Caenorhabditis elegans: one gene and its partners. The protein of the gene in region 2 purifies or fractionates together with the protein of the main gene of each other region. This does not show direct contact. Each region holds a gene or a part of one and is shown on either strand. Other genes may lie near its edges. The genes, in order: acbp-1, cuc-1, R160.10 and fkb-1.

Evidence for each region.
Region 1: the proteins of cuc-1 (region 2) and acbp-1 fractionate together in Caenorhabditis elegans (co-fractionation; one large-scale study listed by BioGRID). This does not show direct contact.
Region 3: the proteins of cuc-1 (region 2) and R160.10 fractionate together in Caenorhabditis elegans (co-fractionation; one large-scale study listed by BioGRID). This does not show direct contact.
Region 4: the proteins of cuc-1 (region 2) and fkb-1 fractionate together in Caenorhabditis elegans (co-fractionation; one large-scale study listed by BioGRID). This does not show direct contact.

What each region holds. Positions count from the first base shown.
Region 1 is NC_003279.8:4,635,188-4,638,122, forward strand, and holds acbp-1 (Acyl-CoA-binding protein homolog 1), read right to left. Parts: upstream 1,193-2,935; 5' UTR 1,155-1,192; coding exon 1,143-1,154; intron 877-1,142; coding exon 628-876; 3' UTR 559-627; downstream 1-558. Other genes in the region: ssb-1 (Lupus La protein), read left to right, coding at 1-215; got-2.1 (Aspartate aminotransferase), read right to left, coding at 2,348-2,621, 2,901-2,935. UniProt on the Caenorhabditis elegans protein: Binds medium- and long-chain acyl-CoA esters with very high affinity and may function as an intracellular carrier of acyl-CoA esters.
Region 2 is NC_003281.10:7,859,966-7,863,016, forward strand, and holds cuc-1 (Copper transport protein ATOX1), read right to left. Parts: upstream 1,021-3,051; 5' UTR 975-1,020; coding exon 966-974; intron 887-965; coding exon 814-886; intron 768-813; coding exon 640-767; 3' UTR 501-639; downstream 1-500. Other genes in the region: tomm-7 (Mitochondrial import receptor subunit TOM7 homolog), read left to right, coding at 45-83; snr-5 (putative small nuclear ribonucleoprotein F), read left to right, coding at 2,107-2,203, 2,254-2,356, 2,464-2,521; putative transporter slc-17.3, read right to left, coding at 2,677-2,922, 2,975-3,051.
Region 3 is NC_003284.9:4,366,457-4,369,427, forward strand, and holds R160.10 (uncharacterized protein), read right to left. Parts: upstream 1,059-2,971; 5' UTR 1,057-1,058; coding exon 980-1,056; intron 920-979; coding exon 712-919; 3' UTR 570-711; downstream 1-569. Other genes in the region: R160.4 (DUF4845 domain-containing protein), read right to left, coding at 2,087-2,288, 2,339-2,394.
Region 4 is NC_003282.8:11,034,534-11,037,681, reverse strand, and holds fkb-1 (peptidylprolyl isomerase), read right to left. Parts: upstream 1,101-3,148; 5' UTR 1,097-1,100; coding exon 969-1,096; intron 924-968; coding exon 812-923; intron 761-811; coding exon 581-760; 3' UTR 508-580; downstream 1-507.

The DNA of each region.
Region 1 (2,935 bases), on a different chromosome or scaffold from region 2:
AGAGGCAAGGAGGTGGACGTGGAGGACGCGGTGGTCGTGGCGGACGAGGAGGCCGCGGTGGTCGTGGAGGTCGTGGTGGAAGAGGTGGACGCGGAGACCGCCGAGGTGATAAGCGGTCAGCAAACGATGAAGGTGCAGATGGATCTGATGAGCCAAAGGCTAAGCGTACTGTGTTCGCTGAGGATGGTGCTCCAGCTGCTGCTGCCGCCGAGTAATTTCATCTTTTGTTGAACAAACCCAAAAATCTCATTCTTTTTTTTTTACTTTTTCCTCCATTTTTTGTTGTTATCATTATTGTTGTGTTGTCCCCCCATTCATTAATCTTGAATACCCTCATTTTGTTGACTTCTCACTCTTTTTAACATCTCTTTTACTGTATTATTACCAATTTAAAAGAGTTGCGGTTTTGATTTATAAATTATTCGGATAAACCAAAGTTTTAGAGTAGCAGACCGGAAAAAAAGAAATTGCAGATCACTCGGAACAGGGAACATGGAAAATGCATTCTTCTGAAAGTTCAAGTTTGCTGATCAAATAGGCAACTTTATGTCTAAATTCTTCGGAATCACAGAATCTTCATTACAAAAATATAAATGTTAAAAAAACGTATTATCAAACAGAATTTATTTAGGCTCCGTACTTGGCGATGAGCTCCTCAACAAGAGCAACATAGGCCTTCTGAGCATCATCCTTTGCGAGTCCCTTCTTCTCATCCCAGGCAGACCACTTGGCTTTTCCCTTCAAATCGAACATTCCTGGCTTATCGGTGGTGTTGTCGCCGACGGTTCCTTGTTTGAACAGAGCATAGAGCTTGAGAAGCTCATCATTCGATGGGGAAGTCTTGAGGGTCTTAACGGTGGCAGCAGCGTCGTCGAACTGAAAATTGAAAAGACTTAGTGAGATTTTATTGGGAAAATATCAACATTTTGCTTCAAAAAATCTAAAGTAGTCTCAAATTCAGAAAAAAATCGCCAAATTATAAAAATGTCTCTTTTTCAATTTTGACTAAGTTCCCTCCGCTATTTTGAAGGGAATTTGCCAACATTGAAAAATCACGGTTTTACAATTATTGCTTTCTGTTGTTGTCATTATTCTGAATTTGAGATTATTTTGGATTTTCTACATCGGAATTTGAAGCTTACCGAGAGGGTCATTTTGAAGACGATGAGAAGAGCTTGTTGAAAGTTTGAACCTGAAAATTAAGAGATTTTAAAATAATGAAACATGAAAAATAATGATGAAAGGGCACTTTGTATATTGTATTTATCTTGACGTACACAACCACGCACTAGAAGTATACAGTCAGAAAAACGGACACTCTTATCATTTGTTATCACTAAAAAATCGTATCAATTTTTTGAGAATACAACAACGTTTCGTGGTCAATATCAAACTATGTGATCACACCATCACAGAAGAAGGACAAAATATGAAAATGTTTAGAAAAAAGAAAGAAATTTTGGCAATTTTCAGTTCTTTTCTTGAAAAAAATTATTAACTTTTGATAAGACACCGATGGTTTTAGCAAAAGCGTTATTACCTAATCGCCAGCAATTGTTAATTTAAAAATACGGTGCCGGGTCTCGAAGCGACTGAAACTTCACAGCTACAGTACTCGCATGTTCAACAACTGCATAGTTTTTGCAATTAAGTGAAGCTGGTGGGTACTGTAGCTGCAAGGTTTCGATCGTGCCAAGACCAGGTGTCGTGTTGTTGCGTCGAAACTCGCAAAATTCTGCAATTGAGTAATAGGAAAAAGTTCGTTTTTTTTTTTGGGCAAAGAAGGATTTTTTTTTGGTTTTTCGATCTTAAAAACTCTTTAAAAAATTTCAATTTTTGGTCGGAAGGAAGAAAAATTAGATTTTTAAAAATATTTTTTAGTTTTAATAGTTTTTTGGTGAAACTCTTGATCGGGAGCCCTAAAAACAACAATTTTTGATATAAATAATGGAAAAATGGAGGAAGTTGAAATTTTCTCATTGAATGAGCTCCGTATCTTATTAAAAACGGATAAAGGCCACAATTTTTAGACTTTCTCAATTTTGTTGGAAATAGAAATTTGACTACAAAACTATAAAAACTCCAAGTTTCACCCACCAATAATAAAATTGATTTAAAGCCTAAAAATAAAAAAACAGATTGAAATTAAAAAAAAAAAGACAAACAAACAAAGGAAGAAAAACATCAAAGATAAGATAATGGGAATGTGAACCCAAAAGAAGAAAGAAAAAATGTTGACGAAAAAAGAAAATCCAAAAACCATTTTATAGACTTTTTAAAAAAGCAAAACCTGAATTTCAATAAAACCGGAAAGAAACTTAGACACGTAGAGAACTTAGAGAAATCATTACTTGGTGACGTCATGGAGAGCTTTAGCCAAATATGCAACATTTCCAGTATTAATACCAGAAATAGAAATACGTCCATCATTTGTCAAGTACACTGAGTGCTCTTTGATGAGCTTTTGAACTTGTTTCTCATTGATTCCAGTGAAACAAAACATTCCAATTTGATTGGTAATATGATCCCAGTTGAGAGTAGATCCTTCAGCTTTCAGGCCGTCTTTTAGAGCCGTACGCATTGATTTGATACGGTCAGCCATTAGTTTCACATCTTCCAGCCTGAAATAATCATTTTTATAGATTTCGTTTTTCCAATATTTCAAAAATAAAAAAGATCCATTTTTTTGAAAAATAGCTAATTTGCCCATTATTTAAATATTTTTAAAAGCAAATTTTCGGCAACTACAGTACTCTTTAAAGGCACACACTCTTTGGAATTTTAGAAAATCAGTCGCTTAGAAACCGGTTTTTCGCAAATCTCATTTTTTTTGGTCCAAAATTATTTTTTTCAGTTTCTGATCTTTAAATTTCTGACTTCACAAACTCAGAAACTCCTACCAAGATTTCTTCAACTCTGGATTACTCAAAATCCG
Region 2 (3,051 bases):
ACACCTATGCTTTCAATTCAAAGATTTAAGAATTCATATTTCAGATCCTCCCTCTTTCCGCCATGAGTCTTCTCTGGGGATAGTTTATCTACGAAAGCAGCCGGGTGGCCGTTGGATCGTTCTGAATCTCATAGTTTTGTTAGCCTCCACTCATTGTTTTCTTCTTTTATTAATAAACAGTTAAAGTTTCCTTGAGAACAATGTGGTTGAGCAACGCGAACAAATCATCAATGTAAATTTCAGCGGATTCGTTACGACGTGTCTCACCACATCGTTAGTAGGATTTCAGAACACATTAAGTAGAAATCAAGAGACGCGGAATAGTGAAATGAAAATGCGACGTTTACCTTTCTGAGAAGGACGGTTACACCGGATGTACGCGTCGACGCTTTAATCTAATAAGGATAAGGTTCAATGCATGAAAAGGTGTTTACATTTGAAACCTTCTATTTCGGTTAAAAGAACTCGAATGAAATATTGCATCAGAAAATCTATAGTTTAGAAAATGCGTTTATTTTTAGAATAGGACAATTTTACAAGCAAGAGTCATAAATTAATACAAAAATTACAGAAATGTCAAAAAATAACGATATTCACAACCATTCGGATAGAAATTAAAGAGACAATCAAAAGGGTCATTTATTGTAGTTGCTTGATCTCTTTTCCTGTTTTCTTCAGAGCTTCAAGTACATCAGATGCTGGTAAATCAGTTGTAACTGTGATTTTCTTGGTTTCCACGTTAATATCGTCAATTTTGATTTTGTCTTCTGTAGAATAATAGGATTAATTTGATTAACAAAAAGTAAACCAAACCTCCAAGCTTTCCTAGAACTTTTCGCGCAGCATTTGCACAGCCATTGCATGTCATGCCCATTTCGAAAACGTACTGAAAATGTTCAAATTATTTTTTTTTTCACAAATATGAGAATATTTAATTGTAATTTGTAAAAAGTTAAATAATTTACCTGTGTCATGATATTTGTTGAGTCAGAAATCTGGAAACTCTGCTTCTGCTTGCCTGAAAAACGTTAATTTGAATGATTGGAATTAGTACAGTCGAAAAGAAATGAACAAAGAGACGCAAAATGGAGAGACAGTGATAGGGCGACTCGTGGTCAATGCTTTATCTCTGAGAATTTGCATCATTCGACATTTTTTGATCAAGTTTTCAAGAAACTGCGATAATTAAAAAAGGAACTATTGAGATGGGACAACTCGAATGGTTTAAGCAACTTTTAAATGTTTTCCAGTTTTTTTTTTTACTTTTTGGAAAAATTTATGGAAAAATGAGAAAGAAGCTTAGAAACAGGATAAAGACACCAAATGACGTCACAGCTTTGCATTAATGCATCTTCTCTATTTTCTCGGCGTCTCACTCATCTTCTACTTTGAAACGAGCGTTTTTATGGGGTGAGAAAATTATCGATTTTAAGGGTGATCAGTTAAAGAGAAAAATAAAGACGATAACATTTTGATGGAGCCTGTTAAATGTTGTGAATTGGAAGAAATAGAGCCTTATATAAAGAACTGTTTTATCATCTACAGTAGTCCGAAAGCCATTTAGCAGGATATTCGAGGCTGAAGAGAAGTTAACTATATTTAGATAGCATAACTTATTAAAACTCAAAAAGTACAAGGACATTGAAAAAGCGGAAAATACAAATACTCAGTTTAAATTAACTAAAAAACCAAAACCCACATCTTTTTCATGCATGATGCATGGGTATGATTAATTTTATGTCGTCAAGTATGGTGTCGCATACGCAGTCTGCAGTATGTCGTATTATCTGATGCTAGCGCAACTTTCGAAAATTCAAGGTTCTTTTTTCATTTTTATGGAGGATTTCGCAGCGTTTTAACCTTTTTAAATGTGTTTTGTTGAGTTTATGTTTATTAAAACAACTTTGTCACTATTAGAAAATAGATACATCTTTCCATCTCACTGAAAAAACCGTCAGATGGGTTTTAAACTTCTTAAATTGTTCAAACATAACAATTGTGATTCGGAAACGCTTTGAATGTATTTTTATTGCTTAAATTACTTGTGTCCTTCACTATTTTCGATATCCCTCGTTTCAAAATATATTATTTAAAAATATTTCAGAAATGTCCGCAGTTCAACCAGTGAACCCAAAACCGTTCCTCAACAGTCTCACCGGAAAGTTTGTCGTTTGCAAACTGAAGTGGGGAATGGAGTACAAAGGTTTGTATTGACATAATGAAATATTTCACCAAAAGCGCCAAATGTTTAAGGTGTCCTTGTTGCTGTCGACTCCTACATGAATCTGCAGCTGGCTCACGCCGAGGAGTACATTGACGGAAACAGTCAAGGAAATCTCGGAGAGATTCTTATCCGGTTGGTGCATTTTTTAAAAGAAAAAATTCAAGCCGTAGAAACTAAAGTTATTACAATCTTATGCACATTTATATCGTAGTAAATCTTGAAAAATGTTCTAACTTTAGATGCAACAACGTTCTCTACGTGGGAGGCGTGGACGGAGAAAACGAGACGAGTGCCTAAATTCTTCAAACCCTTCTCAACAATTGATCTTATGTTCACAAGTTTTCTGTCTTTTTCGCACATTCTTAATCAATAAATTATAATTATCTTATTAAAGAAGTTTTTAAAATATTTATTAAATGAAAAAAAAAATCATCAGCAAATTATGTAAATTATCAAAGACACAGCGAATCCTCTTTCACCAACGTGGCGCTCATTTCATTTTTGACATCTACTTCTTCAACAACTACAATACCATTCTCAATTGTCTTCAGCTTCTCTTTCTCATTCATCTCCTGATCATCCTCAACTTTAGCCCAATCTTGTAATTCTCCTGATCCGAATAACAAGAATATTGAACCAGAGAAAATATGTGCCAGTGAGCATCCTATGAAGATATTCTGCCACTCCGCAGCGGTTCCCTAAGAATATGGATAGCAAGTAGATTTGTCAAAAATCTCTAAAATAGCTTACGTCTTTTCTGAACATGCTCATGACTGCAGGAGTTGTCAATCTACCAATCATTGCAACAAACATTGAAATTGCAGACA
Region 3 (2,971 bases), on a different chromosome or scaffold from region 2:
CCTCTTTGACTGTATTCATCACTCCGTTTATTGCCCAGATATTCGTCACTCGCTGCTCATCACGGGGCAATGCACAGATTGAGTAGATGGAAGAAAATTGGCAGATGCTATATGCGCACAAAAAAATGTTGGAAAGGGAACATGAAAAAGTGGTGAAGAGGGCAAGGGGGATTGGAGGCGAAGAGCAAATACTGTGTAAAAAACACATCAAAAACATAAACCTCTATTCTTAATTGATTGAGAGACTTGCAAGTATGTACTGGCCGAGCCAATAATCTATGAGTGCATAGATTCAAACTCAGTAAACAATTACAATTTGAATTTGCATGAGTCGCTGCTCAGTGTGATACGGAGCCATTGAATTCTCTGAGCAGCGACGCTTTTAAAACAAAATAATTCGAGTTTGTTGATATATAGAGAATGTTTTTGTAATGTCTGGAAATAATTCTATAACTGGATACTACACAACAGTACGAAAAAAAGGGACACATGACAAAAACCTATTGATCTAATTTTCGTATATATTGCAAATTGGGGCTAAATGGAATCATTTTGAAATTGCCAATTTATTCAGTAATAACTTTATACATATAAAAATTAAACACAAACTTATGTTCTCTCTAGGTTTCAATGATAATTATGACAATTTATTGAAATGTGTGGTATGATTATGCGGGTTATAGCAATTGGGAAAATAATACAATAAGACACTTAAACGCGTGAATTGTTGATAGGAGCTCGTGACAGCAATGGTAGTCTTCCTGGTAATGGGTCGTTAGTTGTTCCAAGTGATGCTAGGGGTATAGACCCTTGAGCGTTCTCAGCGTCCTCATCTCCTTCCAGCTCTGGCCGGCAGCAACTTCCTCTCCGTCCACAGCAACCGTACTTTTGCATGATGTAGTCTACCAAAAAACCAATGCTGGAAATTCAAAAATGTTCATTTTGTTTTTTAAAAGACTCCTGAAAACTTTGTTCTCACCTGAGACACGAGAGGACAACAACCAAAAAAATGAGCATCGGCGGAACATGATATTTGATTGTTTGAGCTGTTTCCATCTGACAAATAATTCGGAATGTTGAACAAAAAATGAAACTTATAAATATGAGACAAGGATTAACAACCTTGTGGGATATAGTAATAGAAGATAAATCGGTAATAATTTAAATACGTTTATTGGTGTAAAAAAGTAATGGGCAATCGGTAGGGTGTATCAGGAAACATCTATGATTAGCAGTACAATTTCTGAAATTAATTCCCATTAAAAAATTTGAAAAAAATAGATGACAGCAACCTCTAAATGGTAGCTTCAACTCGGATGACTGTGGTTCGAGCAATGTGTTTATGCATGTTTTGAAACACCTCGGCAATGAAGTACCAAATTCTAAAATTTTGGATAAAATTGAATTATTTTTTGAAAGTGGAATAAGAAATTACATGACCACCGCCGAAGTCAAACCGATAACTATCAAAAATCCAATGGTCACTAAATTCTGGACGTCCATGGTAAAGTTTGAGTTGTATAAAAATGAGGTATCTGAATCTTGAAATGAGATGTGTGCGATATATTTTTCAATCGCCGATAATGAGAATTGAAATGTTTTATAAAAGCGTGTACATGTATGCATTTTAGACCAGAATTTTTACTCCTCACACAGAAAAAAAATGTCTGACGAAATAATTAACACATGAATTACGTCAAGGTTAAATTTTACAATCATAAATATGGTTTAAGAAAAGTTTAAGAATTCCAGTAATCCGAAATTTGGGCAATTTCAGCCAGTTCCAAAATTGCTCACTGCAGCAAATTCAAAAACCAGCAATTGCTCAACTTACCAATTACCGCACACCTCTGATCAAACCAAAATAATAGTTATGGTTTGGCAACCTAACAATACCAAAATATTAACCAAAACGGAAGGGCACGCTAAAATTTATCCACAAAAAAGTTATTCGAGAGCTACTAAAAAGAAATAGTCTATACTACTGTATTTCAATTTTATCGTTGTTACAAATTATGAATACATATGGTGCATGTTGATCGTCTGTAATAAAATTTTGAAAAAATTTACGAACATTTTTCTTACTTTAAATAGGAAGAAGTGGAACAGTGTCTATGATCACTTTGTTGGCAGCATATACTTCCAGCCCATGCATTTGCTCCAGTTGCTCCACGTCAAGAGATACAAATCCTTGTGGACGACTTGGCTCCTCTTCATCCTCAAATCTTTCGAAAAAACGGGGCTGTGGGAAGAACCATTCTCTGATGAGAGTTATGAATAGGATGATGCTATAATTTCCATAACTATTTAAAAATAATTTCAGATCATCGTCACTTACAAAAATATTGACCAAATTAGGAGCAAGATGAGATAGATGCATTTGATGATGTCCATGTTGAAACAAGTCATGCAGGTTTGCGAAATAGTAATTGAAACTAACAAAAAGTTAAGAAGGATAATTAATTAAATATACAGGTATACTTATTGGTTTCAACCAAAATCGATATGAAAAATTGTTCAGAAATTGACATATGTAACATCAACATTCATTAACAAAAAAAGGAGATCAATAATTAATCTGTGCAGTGCTAACAATGACAAATGTCTACAATAGTATTGCATTCAGACCTGAAAAATATATGCTCTCAGTTTTGAAAAAAATATATGTTTCCCCGAAATTTCCTGCCTTTCTACTTATTTTCTCACTGACAATGAACATGTTCAAAAATAAGGAAAAAATCCTTAATAAATTTTATAAAAGTTTAGAGAAACGACTTAAAAATACGAAGAAATTTAAAATAAAATTGCAAACTAATTCTTAAATCATTAACAAAAGTTTTGAAAGTTTTTTTTAGTACTGGCATTTTAAGTTTTAAAAATAATGAACCCAACTTTACTGTACTTTTGTCATTTACGATCCATTCTTTAAAATTTTAAGAGATTAATTTATGGATCCTTTTGATTGCAAATC
Region 4 (3,148 bases), on a different chromosome or scaffold from region 2:
TCGTGTGTTGAGAGAAGACAACGAAGAGCAAGAATCGACCTCAATTTATAACTATTGTTAGGATGGAGCATGAACAAAAAAAAAGAGAAAAGAAGCATTCGGATCGTTGGTGCAATAATTCATGGATGCCAGTTTTAATTGGGTTTCTACTAATAGAATTCCAATTTTTTGTTTATTGTTCGACATTTTCAAAAATGCATTTCCTTTTTCGATTCGTGCTTTTTATTTACAGAGGAACCACATACTTGAATTCTAATATTTACGAAACTGTTGATTCCAGATTTTCAGATTAAAATAATCATTCTTAAAAACTAAGAAAGCAAGGCATTACTAGGTAAGAAGAGAAAAAGGTGTATGGAAATTGATAAATGTCTCGCACACCCTATCATTTTCGCTGACAGAGTGCAATACAAGGTGATAAAGAGAAGCGAGACGCGGTTGTGATCAATGGCCGCAGACGGTCCAAATATATAGAATGGGCATGTTTATAAAGACAAAAAAAAAAACTGCAAAAAAAAATTATACTCTGAGAACATGAATAAGTTACAAAAGGCACGTTTTCTAAATATCCGTAGTTCGTTTACAATTCTTCTCCGTCTCTGTCAATCTTCATGAGCTCAACGTCGAACTTGAGGACAGAGTTGCCTGGAATCTTTGGTGGGGCTCCACGTTCTCCGTATCCAAGGTGTGGTGGAATTGTGAGAATACGACGCTCTCCGACGCACATGTTAAGAAGTCCTTGATCCCATCCCTTGATCACCTATAATTTCAATTTTAATTATTGATATTGGTTTTTTCTTTAAAAACTAACATTTCCTTGTCCAAGAGTGAAAGTGAATTCTTCATTGCGAGTGCGGCTGGAATCAAATTCAGTTCCATCGAGAAGGGTTCCGGTGTAGTGCATGTGCAATTGATCACCCTTTCTGTAAATTTAACATTTTTATTTTAATTAAAAAGAGTAAGCTTACCTGGATTTCTGAACGCAGTTCTCGGCACGCTTCTTGACTCCAATTTGCAATTTATCGATTTTCTGCTCATCGGCAGCATATGCGATCGCCAATAGGCACAAAAGTCCAACGATAACAGCGGTTTTCATGATCCTACAACAATACAATTGATTTTTAGAAGCACAATACAACGAAAAATTATTGAAAAAATACGTTATGAATAGAAAAATGGACAGAGAAATCAGTGCAAAAGAGCAATCGAAGGTGTGCAAACAAAAGTCAAGCAAACGTGGCGTTGTGACGCAGAGAAAACGAGTAATGGGTCAGCAAAAGTTGTTGGCGCAACTTTTGTCGGATTTTTAACTCATAGTTCATAGTTTTTGAGTTTTCCCGAGTTTTAAACAGATTTTTACCGTTTTCTTTACAAATTTTACAAAATAATTCAGTTTTTCTATTATAAATAATTAATTTCAGACAAAATGAGTGCCAAATCTCTCGCAAAGGCTGCCTCAAAGCCTCGGCATCAATCCACTCCGTTCCCAAAAACGGAACAGATTGGTTTTCAACTGAAACATTCAAAAATCCAGTAAAAACGAGGAAATTTAGTGCACATGGGATAGATGTGATCATCGCGGGTTCTATACGATTTTAGTTTCTTCTGTGAATCTCCTCTCTACCTAATGAGTCCTGACAGAATACCGGCAGTATTCTGGGGTCTCATTAGGTTTTAGTTTCTTCTGTGAATCTCCACTCTAACTAATGAGTCCTGACAGAATACCGGCAGTATTCTGGGGTCTCAGTAGGTTTTAGTTTCTTCTGTGAATCTCCTCTCTACCTAATGAGTCCTGACAGAATACCGGCAGTATTCTGGGGTCTCATTAGGTTTTAGTTTCTTCTGTGAATCTCCACTCTACCTAATGAGTCCTGACAGAATACCGGCAGTATTCTGGGGTCTCATTAGGTTTTAGTTTCATTTCCAACTCTCCACTAAACCTAATGAGTCCTGACAGAATACCGGCAGTATTCTGGGGTCTCAGTAGGTTTTAGTTTCTTCTGCGAATCTCCTCTCTACCTAATGAGTCCTGACAGAATACCGGCAGTATTCTGGGGTCTCATTAGGTTTTAGTTTCTTCTGTGAGTCTCATCTCTACCTAATGAGTCCTGACAGAATACCGGCAGTATTCTGGGGTCTCATTAGGTTTTAGTTTCATCTGTGAATCTCCACTCTAACTAATGAGTCCTGACAGAATACCGGCAGTATTCTGGGGTCTCATTAGGTTTTAGTTTCTTCTGTGAATCTCCTCTCTACCTAATGAGTCCTGACAGAATACCGGCAGTATTCTGGGGTCTCATTAGGTTTTAGTTTCTTCTGTGAGTCTCCTCTCTACCTAATGAGTCCTGGCAGAATACCGGCAGTATTCTGGGGTCTCATTAGGTTTTAGTTTCTTCTGTGAGTCTCCTCTTTACCTAATGAGTCCTGACAGAATACCGGCAGTATTCTGGGGTCTCATTAGGTTTTAGTTTCTTCTGTGAATCTCCTCTCTACCTAATGAGTCCTGACAGAATACCGGCAGTATTCTGGGGTCTCATTAGGTTTTAGTTTCTTCTGTGAATCTCCACTCTAACTAATGAGTCCTGACAGAATACCGGCAGTATTCTGGGGTCTCAGTAGGTTTTAGTTTCTTCTGTGAATCTCCTCTCTACCTAATGAGTCCTGACAGAATACCGGCAGTATTCTGGGGTCTCATTAGGTTTTAGTTTCATTTCCAACTCTCCACTCTACCTAATGAGTCCTGACAGAATACCGGCAGTATTCTGGGGTCTCAGTAGGTTTTAGTTTCTTCTGTGAATCTCCTCTCTACCTGATGAGTCCTGACAGAATATCGGCAGTATTCTGGGGTCTCATTAGGTTTTAGTTTCTTCTGTGAGTCTCCTCTCTACCTAATGAGTCCTGACAGAATACCGGCAGTATTCTGGGGTCTCATTAGGTTTTAGTTTCTTCTGTGAATCTCCACTCTACCTAATGAGTCCTGACAGAATACCGGCAGTATTCTGGGGTCTCATTAGGTTTTAGTTTCATTTCCAACTCTCCACTAAACCTAATGAGTCCTGACAGAATACCGGCAGTATTCTGGGGTCTCAGTAGGTTTTAGTTTCTTCTGTGAATCTCCTCTCTACCTAATGAGTCCTGACAGAATACC